Pelodiscus sinensis: one gene and its partners. The protein of the gene in region 1 purifies or fractionates together with the protein of each later gene. This does not show direct contact. Links are inferred from orthologs where the notes say so. Each region holds a gene or a part of one and is shown on either strand. Other genes may lie near its edges. The genes, in order: ARHGDIA, RHOC and EZR.

Evidence for each region.
Region 2: the proteins of ARHGDIA (region 1) and RHOC purify together in Homo sapiens (affinity purification with mass spectrometry; 4 studies listed by BioGRID and IntAct, with this or other methods). This does not show direct contact. The link is inferred for Pelodiscus sinensis from reciprocal best matches to the Homo sapiens genes ARHGDIA and RHOC.
Region 3: the proteins of ARHGDIA (region 1) and EZR purify together in Homo sapiens (co-purification; 3 studies listed by BioGRID and IntAct, with this or other methods). This does not show direct contact. The link is inferred for Pelodiscus sinensis from reciprocal best matches to the Homo sapiens genes ARHGDIA and EZR.

Annotation. Positions count from the first base shown.
Region 1 is NC_134730.1:29,724,340-29,728,084, forward strand, and holds the start of ARHGDIA (rho GDP-dissociation inhibitor 1), read right to left. Parts: upstream 2,643-3,745; 5' UTR 2,486-2,642; intron 1-2,485. UniProt on the Homo sapiens protein: Controls Rho proteins homeostasis. Regulates the GDP/GTP exchange reaction of the Rho proteins by inhibiting the dissociation of GDP from them, and the subsequent binding of GTP to them.
Region 2 is NC_134737.1:2,011,100-2,014,844, forward strand, and holds the start of RHOC (rho-related GTP-binding protein RhoC), read left to right. Parts: upstream 1-1,017; 5' UTR 1,018-1,093; intron 1,094-3,745. UniProt on the Homo sapiens protein: Regulates a signal transduction pathway linking plasma membrane receptors to the assembly of focal adhesions and actin stress fibers.
Region 3 is NC_134713.1:112,895,064-112,898,808, forward strand, and holds the start of EZR (ezrin), read right to left. Parts: upstream 2,365-3,745; 5' UTR 2,208-2,364; intron 1,487-2,207; exon of another isoform or gene 1,453-1,486; 5' UTR 1,371-1,452; coding exon 1,359-1,370; intron 1-1,358. UniProt on the Homo sapiens protein: Probably involved in connections of major cytoskeletal structures to the plasma membrane. In epithelial cells, required for the formation of microvilli and membrane ruffles on the apical pole. Along with PLEKHG6, required for normal macropinocytosis.

The DNA of each region.
Region 1 (3,745 bases):
GGGACCTGGCACAAGCTGGGAATCAGCTGTCCCGGATCGCGTGAGGTCCCCCACACTGTACACTGGCCTTTTAAATATGTTGAGGGCCTTCCAGCTCTTCATACATTTAAAAGGCAGAGCTGCAGCAGGGTTAGCTCCCAGGAACTAACCCCACCGCAGCTCCCCCACTAATAGACTGGTCAATGAAAATGCCATTGACTAGACAATTAGTGGATTAAATGTAACATCCCTATGCCAGTTAACTGGTTGACCCTTTCCATCTCTGCCAGGAGCACAGGCCTTCTGTCTCTGGCAGGAATAGACCCTCCTCCAGAAGGGGGAGTGGCTCCCCATCATCTCAATTCCTTCTTCTAAAGACTGAGCCACTCCCCAGCAGTCCCTCTTGCACACCTGAACCCCACATTTTTGGCCCTCACCCCAGAGCCTAAGGGGACCCCACAAAATCAACCAGCCCCAGGTCCCCAGAAGAGTTAATCTGGCCTGGGGTGAACACTGAGCCCCTGCACCTGCACCCCTCCATGGGGCTGGAGGTGAGGGTCTTTTTTCCTCCTCCTCACTTGGAGGCCAGGTGAGAGATGTGGGGTTCCCCCCCCCAGGGAGACAATTTAGTTTTTTCCTCCCCTCTGCTTCCTATTTGTGTGTGGACTCAGACTGATTTTTCTGTGGGTTAGTGATTCCCAACACAAAAAAGCTCGCCCACCCCTGAGTTAAGTGCTCTCTCTCAAATGGTGTATTTTCACTCATTTTGGATTGCTCAGGTGATGAGGAACCTGGAAGAGGTTTCCCTGCTCTGCCTTCCTGTCTTATTAGGCTAGTTAAATTAAGCCCCACTGTTTCTTCTGTAATGTCAGAGAGAGTACATTTCAAAGCTGAGGGCCTGAAATGCGTGCCCCTGGTTGTTGAGGAAACTAATGTACCTGCTTACAGAGTGTGAAAGCCCCATCTGAAGGTGCAGGAAGAGAGATGATTGACGATCTCTTCCATGGTTTTTCCAGCTTCTTTCCTAACAGCTCTGAAAATGGCAGCTTCCTTTGTTAAAAACTAACTATACAAAATTGAGGAAGCTCTTGCTGCAGCTTTGCATAGTATAGGAAGTGCTGAATAAGCATTCCTTATATTAGCTGGTTGGGAAGTACAAAGATATGAATCATTGAGCTGGAAGAGACCTCAGGAGGTCAAGTCCAGCCCCCTGCCCAAGGCAGGACCAATCCCAACTAAATCAACCCGGCCAGGGCTCTTGTCAACCTGAGACTTAAAAACCTGTATGGATGGAGATTCCACCCCCTCCCTCGGGAACCCATTCCAGTGCTTCACCACCCGCCTAGTGAAATAGTTTTTCCTAATATCCAACCTAGACCACCCCCACTGTAACTTGAGACCATTGCTCCTTCTTCTGCCATCCATCACTACTGCGAACAGCCTCTCTCCAGCATCTTTGGAACCTCCCGTCATGAAGTTGAAGGCTGCTGTCAAATCCCCCCTCACTCTTCTCTTTTGAAGACTAAACAGACCCAAATCCCTCAGTCTCTCCTAGTAGGTCATGTGCTTCAGCCCCCTCATCATTTTGGTCGCCCTCCGCTGGACCCTCTCCAATGCGTCCACATCCTTTCTATAGTTTTGGGGGCCCAGAACTGGACACAATACTCCAGATGTGGCCTCAGCAGAGCCGAATAAAGGGGAATACTCACTTCTTTAGATCTGCTGGCAATGCTCCTCCTAATGCATCCTAATATGCCATTCGCCTTCTTGGCTACAAGGGCGCACTGTTGACTCCTATCCAGCTTCTCACCCACTGTAACCCCAGGTCCTTTTCTGCAGACCTGCTGCTTAGCCTGTAACAATGCTGGGATTCTTCCTTCCCAAGCACAGGACTCTACACTTGTCCTTGTGGAACTTCATCGGGTTTCTTTTGGCCCAATCCTCTACTCTGTCCAGGTCACTCTGGACTCTCTCCCTGCCCTGCAGGTCTGGGTTAAGGGAGGGGCACTAGCCAGGCAGCTAGTGGTAAGGGGCACTGTGCTCGCCCGGAGGCGCAGCCACGCATGTGCCGCTCGCCGGGGGGGGGGGGGGGGGCAGAGTCCCAGACCACGTCAATCAGGCGCCTCGCGCCCACTGCCCGGGGCACAAGCAGGACTCGGCCCAGCACTGCAGCCCCCAGGGCGCCACCTCCCCCAGCTTGGCGTCACCTGCGAAATAAATGAACATTCGGCGCCTTTATTAAGTGGCCCTCGCAGAACAGGCAGCGCCGCCCCGAGCGGGCCCCTCCCCCCCCGCTGCACCAGCCTCGGCCCGCGCGGCGGGGCCCTTCGCGAAAGCGCCGGGCAGTTACCAGGGCCCCGGGGGGGGGAGGGGCTGCACGGGCCCCCCTCAGGCCGCACCCGGGAGATCCGGCTCAGCCCTGCCCCCCGGGCCCTGCAGCCCGGGACAAGGGCGCTGGGCGCGAGCCGCAGGCCCCGCCCCCGCCCGCGCCGCGGCCCCTCCCTACCCGGCCCGGTCGCCTCCTCGCGCCGCTGTGACAACGCCGCCCGGATCCGCCCAGCCGCCTCCGCGCGCGCTCCCGCACTTCCGGGGCACTGGCGTCACTTCCTGTTATAAGGGGGCAGCGCCCAATGCCTCACTTCCCGAGCCGGCCTCGCGACGCTGATTGGCCGGCAGAGGGCGGAGGGGGCGCGCGACCGACGGCGAAGATGAGCGAGATTGAGGCCTAGCTAGAGCGTCCCCGCTGCGGGGGGCGGGGGACTTCCGGTCTCTGCAGGGCGAGCGGAAGCGAACCTGCCCCGACAGACCCCTGGGCGGCGGCGGGGATCGCTCCCCCCGTCTCTGCGCTGCCGCCTGTCACGGGACCGAGCCAGGCCCCCGCCCGGCCCCCCCCCCCGCTCGAGGGAGCGTCCGCCCGGGCGGCGAGTCCTGCGCGGTCCCGTTTGCCCCGCAGACCCGGGGCTGCTCCTCGCCGTGTTTGAATGGGGCTGGGATCCCGCTTGCCGCGCCCCCGCTGTGCGCGTGTCCTCTTCGAGACCCGTCACTACTGTCCGTAGGTCTGCAACCCCCCCAATACCCTCCATTGTCCCACAGCCAGCAAACTCCATCCCAAGTCCTGTTGTGCCCCCTCTCTGCTCTGTGGGGCATCAGCACCCAGAAAGCAGGAGGCTCCTGAGGGGACAGCTCCAAGGCAAAGGGCAGAAGGTGCACAGCAGTGGGGGGGAGAGGGGCAACTGAAGTGCTGGCACTTGATAGCCTCTTGGCCAAACCAGTCAGGATCACCTGTCAGAGGCTCCAAGATCCATCAGCAGATCCCAATCAACTTTTCCACACTGAAAAGTCTACTTAACTCATTGCTTGTTTTTGCTCTGGAATAATGAACAGTGATCCTACCTCCCACTGATGTAGAAATTCTCCTCTCTAGCCTTGCAAGTCTTGAAAAGTTCTCATAGTTTGTCAATTATATTTTGGGCCTGTAGGCAAATGAAATGCTCCTGGTTGCATTGGCACAAGGGCCATGTGTAGGATTTGCTTTCTCTTGATTTCTACAGTTAGTTCCTTTCCATTTTGAGCACTACTGGGAAGGTAGAAGAGGTATCCTACATAATCAGCCAGGTTTGCTTTTACACACATACAAGCTGAGGTTTCCTTCAGTGCATCTCCCCAAAGAGCTGGAAGGTAACTTGTTTCCAGGCCCAACTGCCACTACCAGTAGTTTAGTAACGAGTACAAACAGGAGCAGCCCTAGACGAGCTGCCAACAACTG
Region 2 (3,745 bases), on another chromosome or scaffold:
TCACGAGGAGAAAGGGAAGTCGAAGAAGGAGTGCTCTTCCTTTGACTTCCTGCTGTGTAGACCGCGCCAAAAGACAAATTAAGCTATTTCAACTGTGGCTACGCAAGGCATTTAGGACAAGCATTGTCATTGACTAGGGCTTTAGCACAAGGCAGATGTGTCTGGGTGCACTGCGATATAAATGATAAAATATTAGATGGGCAAGATGGGTGTGATATGTTTTACTGGACCACTTCTGTTGGTGAGAGTGGAGCTTTGAGCCACAGGTAGCTCTTCTCCAGCCTCCCAGCTAAATGCAGGGGAGGCGGCCAGAGTGGGCCCCGGGGTGTGAGTGTCTTGGGGAGTTCTTCCTGCAGCCACTGCTCTTTCCTCCCCCTTCCCCTCCCCCTCCCCGGCTTGTGCCCAGTCTCCCAGCTCCCCCCGCCAGCACCCTGTGAGCTCCTCCTCCTCTGTCACCCCCACCCCGTACCCCACCCTGTGCCCCCGCCAGCACCCTGTGAGCCCCCCTCCTCTGTCACTCCCACCCTGTACCCCACCCTGTGCCTCCGCCAGCACCCTGCGAGCCCCCCCTCCTCTGTCACCCCCACCCCGTACCCCACCCTCTGCCCCCGCCAGCACCCTGCGAGCCCCCCTCCTCTGTCACCCCCACCCCATACCCCACCCTCTGCCCCCGCCAGCACCCTGTGAGCCCCCCTCCTCTGTCACCCCCACCCTGTGCCCCCCCTGTGCCCCCGCCAGCACCCTGCGAGCTCCTCCTCCTCTGTCACCCCCACCCTGTACCCCACCCTGTGCCCCCCGTACCCGGCCAGCACCCTGCAAGCCCCCCTTCTCTGTCACCCCCACCCTGTACCCCACCCTGTGCCCCCGCCAGCACCCTGCGAGCCCCCCCTCCTCTGTCACCCCCACCCTGTGCCCCCCCTCTGCCCCCGCCAGCACCCTGCGGGCCCCTCCCCCCTCTGTGACGCCCGCTGCCCGTATCCCCGGGCGGCCCCGCCCCGCAGTACCCGGCGGGGGGGCGGTCCCGGCCGGCCCCGCCCTGCCCGGCTAAGTGCCGCTCGCCGCGGAGCCCGAGCAGCCGGAGCCAGCGCCCCAGGTACCGCGGGGCGGGGCTGTGGGGAGCGGGGGGGGCTCTGTGTGCGGGTACCCGGTGCCTGAGGGGGCTGTGGGGTGAGGGGGGCGCTGGGGCCGGAGGGGTTGCGGGGGGGAGCCGGGCTGGGCTCTGGGAGTTCGGGGTGTGGGGGTGGCAGGGCTGTTCTGGGGGTCACAGGTTGTACAAGCGGGGGGGGGGGCAGCCCTTCTGTCTCCTACTCTTATTGGGGGAGGGGCTCTTACCCCCCTTCTCCCGGGCCGGGAGCCGCCCCCCCCCCCGTGCTGCAGGGGGGCCCAGCTCTGTCTCAGCACAGCCACTGATGCGGGGCAGGTGGGCAGGAGAGGCTGTGCTAGGTGTGCCCGTCCTCCCCTGGAGTGTGTGCTCAGCTGGTGGGGTGGGGAGGGAGACCAGGCAGCTGAGCTGAGCAAACATCCCAGGGAGCCTTTCCCTGGCCAGCTCTTGTTCAGCACAGCTACTTCCCCTGCCTGGGGAGCTGCCGGGGTGCAGAGCAGGAATCTCCGCGTCCCTGTCTGTCTGTAGGTCCAGCACAACCAACAGTCCTGCGGCACCTTAGAGACTAACGGGCGTTTGCTGTGGTGGGTACAATCCACTTGTTAATCAGCCAGTGCCCACTGCTTGGGCTCCCTGGTCGCGCTCAACTGTGGCATGCCCCCAAGCGACAGAAGTTTGCTTGAACTAAGCAGGCTGAAATGGTGGTGGTCTTCCCCATCTCCTCCCCCCCCCCCACACACACACTTGGCTTTTCTGTGTGGGAGCACGCTCCTGGGGTGCATTTTCATGTCCTAGGTGCTGTTTCCTAGTGCTAACAAACAGCATGTCCATCTCCTCGAAGCCTGTGCTCCTTGCTTCCTGTAGGTAGCCTTTAAACATGTGTGTTAGGAGCTTTGTAATGGCTTTGGAGTACAGAAGCATTCCAAAACCATGACTGCGCTGCTTTCTCCAGCCCTAACCGTCTGGCAGCCAAGCCCCTTGAATCCAGCCTTGGCCTCCTGACAACGGGAGCGTAAAACAGTAAGAAGTTGTGAATCAGTTTAGAGTGTGCAGTCTGACTGGGAAACATGTTGTGTGCTGAGACCTCAAGCTGATGGAAACTAAACTGGGTCACAGATAAAGAAAATGTCACCTTTTATGCAAATTGTGAAAAGGTTTAAATTGTGTTACAGGCAATAAACTATTTAAGGGCTTCAGTTATGTGTTCCCACTTATATTCCACTTTCAGTCACGCTTTATTGTCTCTGTGCCAAGTGTCTGCTGGCCTCCCATAATTTTCCTTATAGCTACATGTGAGAGCTAGGGGTTTTAAAGTGGAGTCCTAGATCTAGTAGAAGTTATTTGCTTGCAGAGGTTCTATCAAAATGGAAAAAGCACAGAGTTATGTGACCCACTTCCAAGAGGTTATCAGAAGTTTGTGTAAACAAAACCACATTGTAATCTTCTGTTTGGCATGGAATGCCATGAAATGTAAGGAATGTATTAGACAAATATTGATTGGCCCAACGCGATAGCAGTACAAAACTAAACAGGTAGAAACTGTTCCTGAGGCTGTGATGTATTATTGGGATTTGATATATCACGTACTACACATTCTTATTGAAGAATAAGAAACCTATGCTGCCTTAGAAACCTTAATGTGGAGGGGGAGTTAAGGTCTGTGTTGTTCTCCCCCCTCCCCCTAATTTTTTCCCATCCACGTGCAGATTTTTTCCATCCATATGCGAAATAACTTTTTCTATGTGCACTGGGGCATGTGTGTATGTGCACCACCAGTAGAATCAGAGACCTGGCTGTGGGTGCTCCGCTTATGAGTGGGGGGCATTTGAATCCCTCCTGGGTGACCGCACAAGCACACTGCTTACAAGGATCACTGGTTAAGGTGTCTGTAGACTCTAAAGCGTGGTGGGTTGTAAGAAGGTTTCCTGTAAGACTCCTCTCCTGGAAGACTGAGATGCACTGCAGTGACATCAGCTGGCTCTGGATGTTGAGCAGTTGTTTGCCTCACTTGAAAAGCAATGCCGTGGAACATAAACTTCCACAAGTACAGCTGCCGTCAGCTGAACTCAGACGTGACTTACAGCCACGGAAGTTACGATCTTGCAGCACTTCTCAGAGCAGGGAATAATCCTCGCGTCCTGCCCAGCATCCCTCCCAACACAATGTTATAAACAAACCGTTGTGTGCGTGCCAAGTGTAAAATGGCAGCCAGGTGAGCCAGCAGGAATCCAACGCACTGCTGTGTCACGCATGGGGATGCACAGAGCAGGAAAGGTGGTACTGCATAGAAAGCCAAAATCTGGTCTTTCAGGGTTCCTGCATCACATGAGATCCTGCTCAGCAGGCACCTGATTCCTGGATGCTGCTGAGAATTAATTTATTTTACAAGGAGCTCTTGCTCTGCCATTTGTTTAATGAAGAGCCTTCTAATTGGCAAGCTGCTTCATAAGCACGTCCATACAACAGGTGAAATGCACAGTGGGTGTTGCCTTTGGGGAAAAGACATGAGGGCAAGTCTTGGACCAGGGGACACAAGTCATGCTGACTCCAGATGGAGTCAGAAAAAATGGAAGAAAGAAAGCCGTCTTCAGATCCTAGTAGGGATGTGAGCAGCTAGCTGGTTAATCAGTAAATCTTGCCCAT
Region 3 (3,745 bases), on another chromosome or scaffold:
CCATATTAGTTTCAATATCATTCCAAAGAGCACAGTATCATTTTTATCAAGCCTCCCATCCCCAGTCTAAGTCCATTACTAAACCCATTTTCAGATATAAATTGTGGTGGAACCAGAAAATTCTTTGGTTCTGATGGCTTCATACTGACAGCATTTAGAAAGAATCATTTCTATGCTTTACAAAGTATAATTCTTCTCTTTTGGAATGATTATTTTCAATAGCAAATGAATTTTTTTTTAAAAAAAAAAAAGCCAAAACATGTAAGTCACTAAAAAACAGACATAGCCTCAGAAACTTATCAATCCACAGGCTATATATTAGCTCTTTTATGAAGGAATGCATGTATATACACAGCTTTAAAGCAATGCTGAAAAAATACAAAAAATTTACCAGCTAAGGTGTAACTTCTGCTCATCCATGTTAACCATAAACAAACAAAATTAATTATATTTTTGCCCACTGAAAACAGTTACTTACTCATGGGTAGTAGAGTTTTGCATAGTTGAATTAAGGTATATAAATACTAGTATAAAAATTTAAAATTAAAGATGTTTAAACAAATAATTTAACATTTAAATTAATTGGAGGATCAAACTTCTATTCCTGATTGTTAGAATTATAACATTGTGTGTGTGTCATTTAAGTACATCCTCACTTCCACCTGCCCCCACCCAACATTTGATTTTTAAGTTGGATGGATATATGGGTTCATCATGCTGCTTTGCTCTTCTAACAATTTGGAACTGGCATGGAGGACTCAAATTACGATGTATTAATTTATATAATCCTTCTAAACATAGAAAGAAAAAAAACAAGGTAGGTGAGGTAATATATTTTCTTGAATATATTTTCTTGAATCAACTTCTGTTGGTAAGATATTCAAGCTTCTCCGCTTAAACAGAGCTCTTCTTTGGATCTAGGAAATACACTCAGGGTGTTGCAGTTAATTACAAGGTGGAACAGACAGTTTAGCAAAAATAATTAATAGCTATTTCACAGGACCATTCAAGATGAAAGAGACCATTAGCACCCCTCTAGTCATGGGAAAAAATAGACAGAGGGAGATAGCTGAGAGGAAAGTGGCACTATAGATGGTTATAAACCAGTGTCTCAATTATTCCATCCATTCTTTTTAGTGTCTAACTGTTACACATTTAAGCTCCGAGGCTCATCTTTTGAAGGGGCTGCTCAGATTTCCTTTGATGATGAGAACTGAGACCAGATATACTATAGAGTGATTGGTTTGTGAAAATTATTAGAAGGAAATAGTCACCTAAAAAAAGTAAGTTACTAATATAAAAACATAAAAATGTATACTAAACACCACAAGATACAAGACATAAAACGTATCACTCACCGGTTTGGGCATTTTCAGATCTTAAAGCGGTTCTGTTATTCCAAAAACAAATGGTCATGCAGTGGCTTGAAGATCTTTTTTCTTTTTCGTAAATCTGGTAACAGGTGAGTAGAAAAAGTTCTCTTTTACTGAGGAGGAGGTAAAGTAAAAGAAGCTTAAAATCTCAGTTCGGTTTCTTAAATAACGAGGGAGAGCAGCAAAGATGATTCATACGTGACCCACAATTACTAGGGAACTCCACTGGTTTTATTTTATTTAAAAAAAAAAACCACATAAGTGACCTCGCCCAGTGGGGGAAAAAAAAATCCATCTGCAACCAGAGAAGGTCATTGGGCCAGACACACCCATAAGCCTAAGTACAATTTCAACACCTTTCCTAAGCGGTATAAGATTAATAACCTGGGAAAGGAGGAGGGGGCGGAAACTGGAACCATTGTCAGCCCTTGGTTTGCAACACAGGGACCGCTCCCCCGACGCCTGCCTGCCAGCAGGTCGGAGAGAAGCACCGAGACCCTCCCTCACAAAGCAGCTTGCCCCGACTCCCGGGGAGGGCAGGCAGAAGAATCCCGCCCGAGGGGCCCAGCAGCTGCCTCCCTTTGCCCTGAAAGTTAAAACAAGGACCGGGAGGGAGCCCGGCCAAGCCTCAGGCGGGCTCTAGCCTACGGTCCGCAGACACCACGACCCGGCAGGGCTCGCTCGCCTGCTCCCGCTCTGCAGGCAGCACCTGGCCCCGGGAGCCCCAGGCAGGCGGGGAGACCGAGCGGCGGCAGGAGACGCGCGCTAAGCCCCGCAACACCTGTTGCCTGCGCCACCCCGTGCTCCCCCGGCTCCGGCTGGGAGACCCCTTACCCGGCTGTCTCCCTGCGGCGACTGGGCAACACCCGGGACCGGACTGGACTGGCAGCGGCCGGAGGGTGGGTTGGGCTCCCTGTGCGCGCCTCTGACCCCGCCCCGCCGCTCCCACTGCTGCAATATGGCCGAGCGGGCCCCGCCTCCCCCGAGCCGCGCCTTCCCCTGTGTAGACAGCCCCGAGCCCGGCTCCCCGCGTCCACACGCGAATGCAGAGCGCCCTCCCGGCGCCTTGTCAGCCTGGCGCCCATCTTCCCCCTGGAGAGCCTGGGCAAACACCGCGGGGCATGCCAGGGAGCAGCCAGGGACGCGCGTTCTTTGCGCCAGCGTAAGGGAAAGAAGCAAAGCAAAGGAACGAGCCTCCAGTGACAAGCAACACACGTGCCTGGGGAACTTACCCAGACTTGGCTTTGTTTGGTTTTAGGGCTACTGGGATTTGGACAAAAATTCTCCTTCCCACCAGCCCTTTTCCTCCGTGTGCTGTGCTCCTCTCCCTTCAGGTAATGGGAGGAAGCAGTTGCATTGCAAGCACTTCTGGAGGTGCGCTTATATTTGTCTCCGTTTTTTACCCTCCTTTATCCTTTGGGGCTGAAAAGTGTCATGCTTACTATAAAAGGGGGGAATTTGGTTGTCTTTTTGAAAGTCTTCACATTTTCATGGATGGAAGTGGTTTGATTACTGTGCAGCCAGATTTTTTCACACTTTAAGAAAACTTTCTGACACTTGCTTTGGCTAGCTCATTTGTATGTGTAATGTCACTGATATAGTCAGGGATGTAGTGCTAAATTTGAGAATGCATGGAACTCTGCGGAAGTGATATTGGTGATTAATTATTCTGTCACTAATTTTTACCAATAAACTTTATCTAATGGAAAGTCTGCGAACCATCCGTTATGAGACTTCACACACTAGTGTCTCTGTTTATATATTTTAGAGATTTTGTGCATCTATCTGAGAGGACTCCTCCAAAATGATTAGAGTCAGGACCACCAAATTTGGTATCCTAACTTAAAGCAAGTCAAGGCTTGGTTTTGCCAGGACAATGGGGATGTGCTTGGAATTCGATTGTTTTCTGTAACATGGAAAGGGAGGGGTCTGAGAGGAGGGACAGTTATGCTCCACCATGACCGCAGGGAGCACAGGGGACAGTTATATTGCAGAGTGACCACAGGGAGATTGCTGCACCAGGAAGAGAGTGGCCAGCCACTGACCCAGATAAGTGCCCCCCCCCCCGCCCAGCTCTCTGCTATAACACCGGATGGGGGGGGAGGGGCTCAGAAATCCCACCAGCCAGTAGGCCTGGCTCCAACCCCTATGAGAAGCCACTGAGGGGAGCTGGGCAGTCCAGCCCCACCCCTACAAGGAGCCAACAGGCAACCCAGTTCCAATCCCATTCCCCTCCTGCAAGGAGCCACTGTGGGGGCACTGGGCAGCCCAGCCTCGCTTCCCCCCCAAGATGAGCTGGCAGGGGGGCTAGTCAGTCTGCTCAGTCCTGCTCTCCTCCCCCTGAGGAGCTGCTTGGGTGCTGCTGGCCAGCA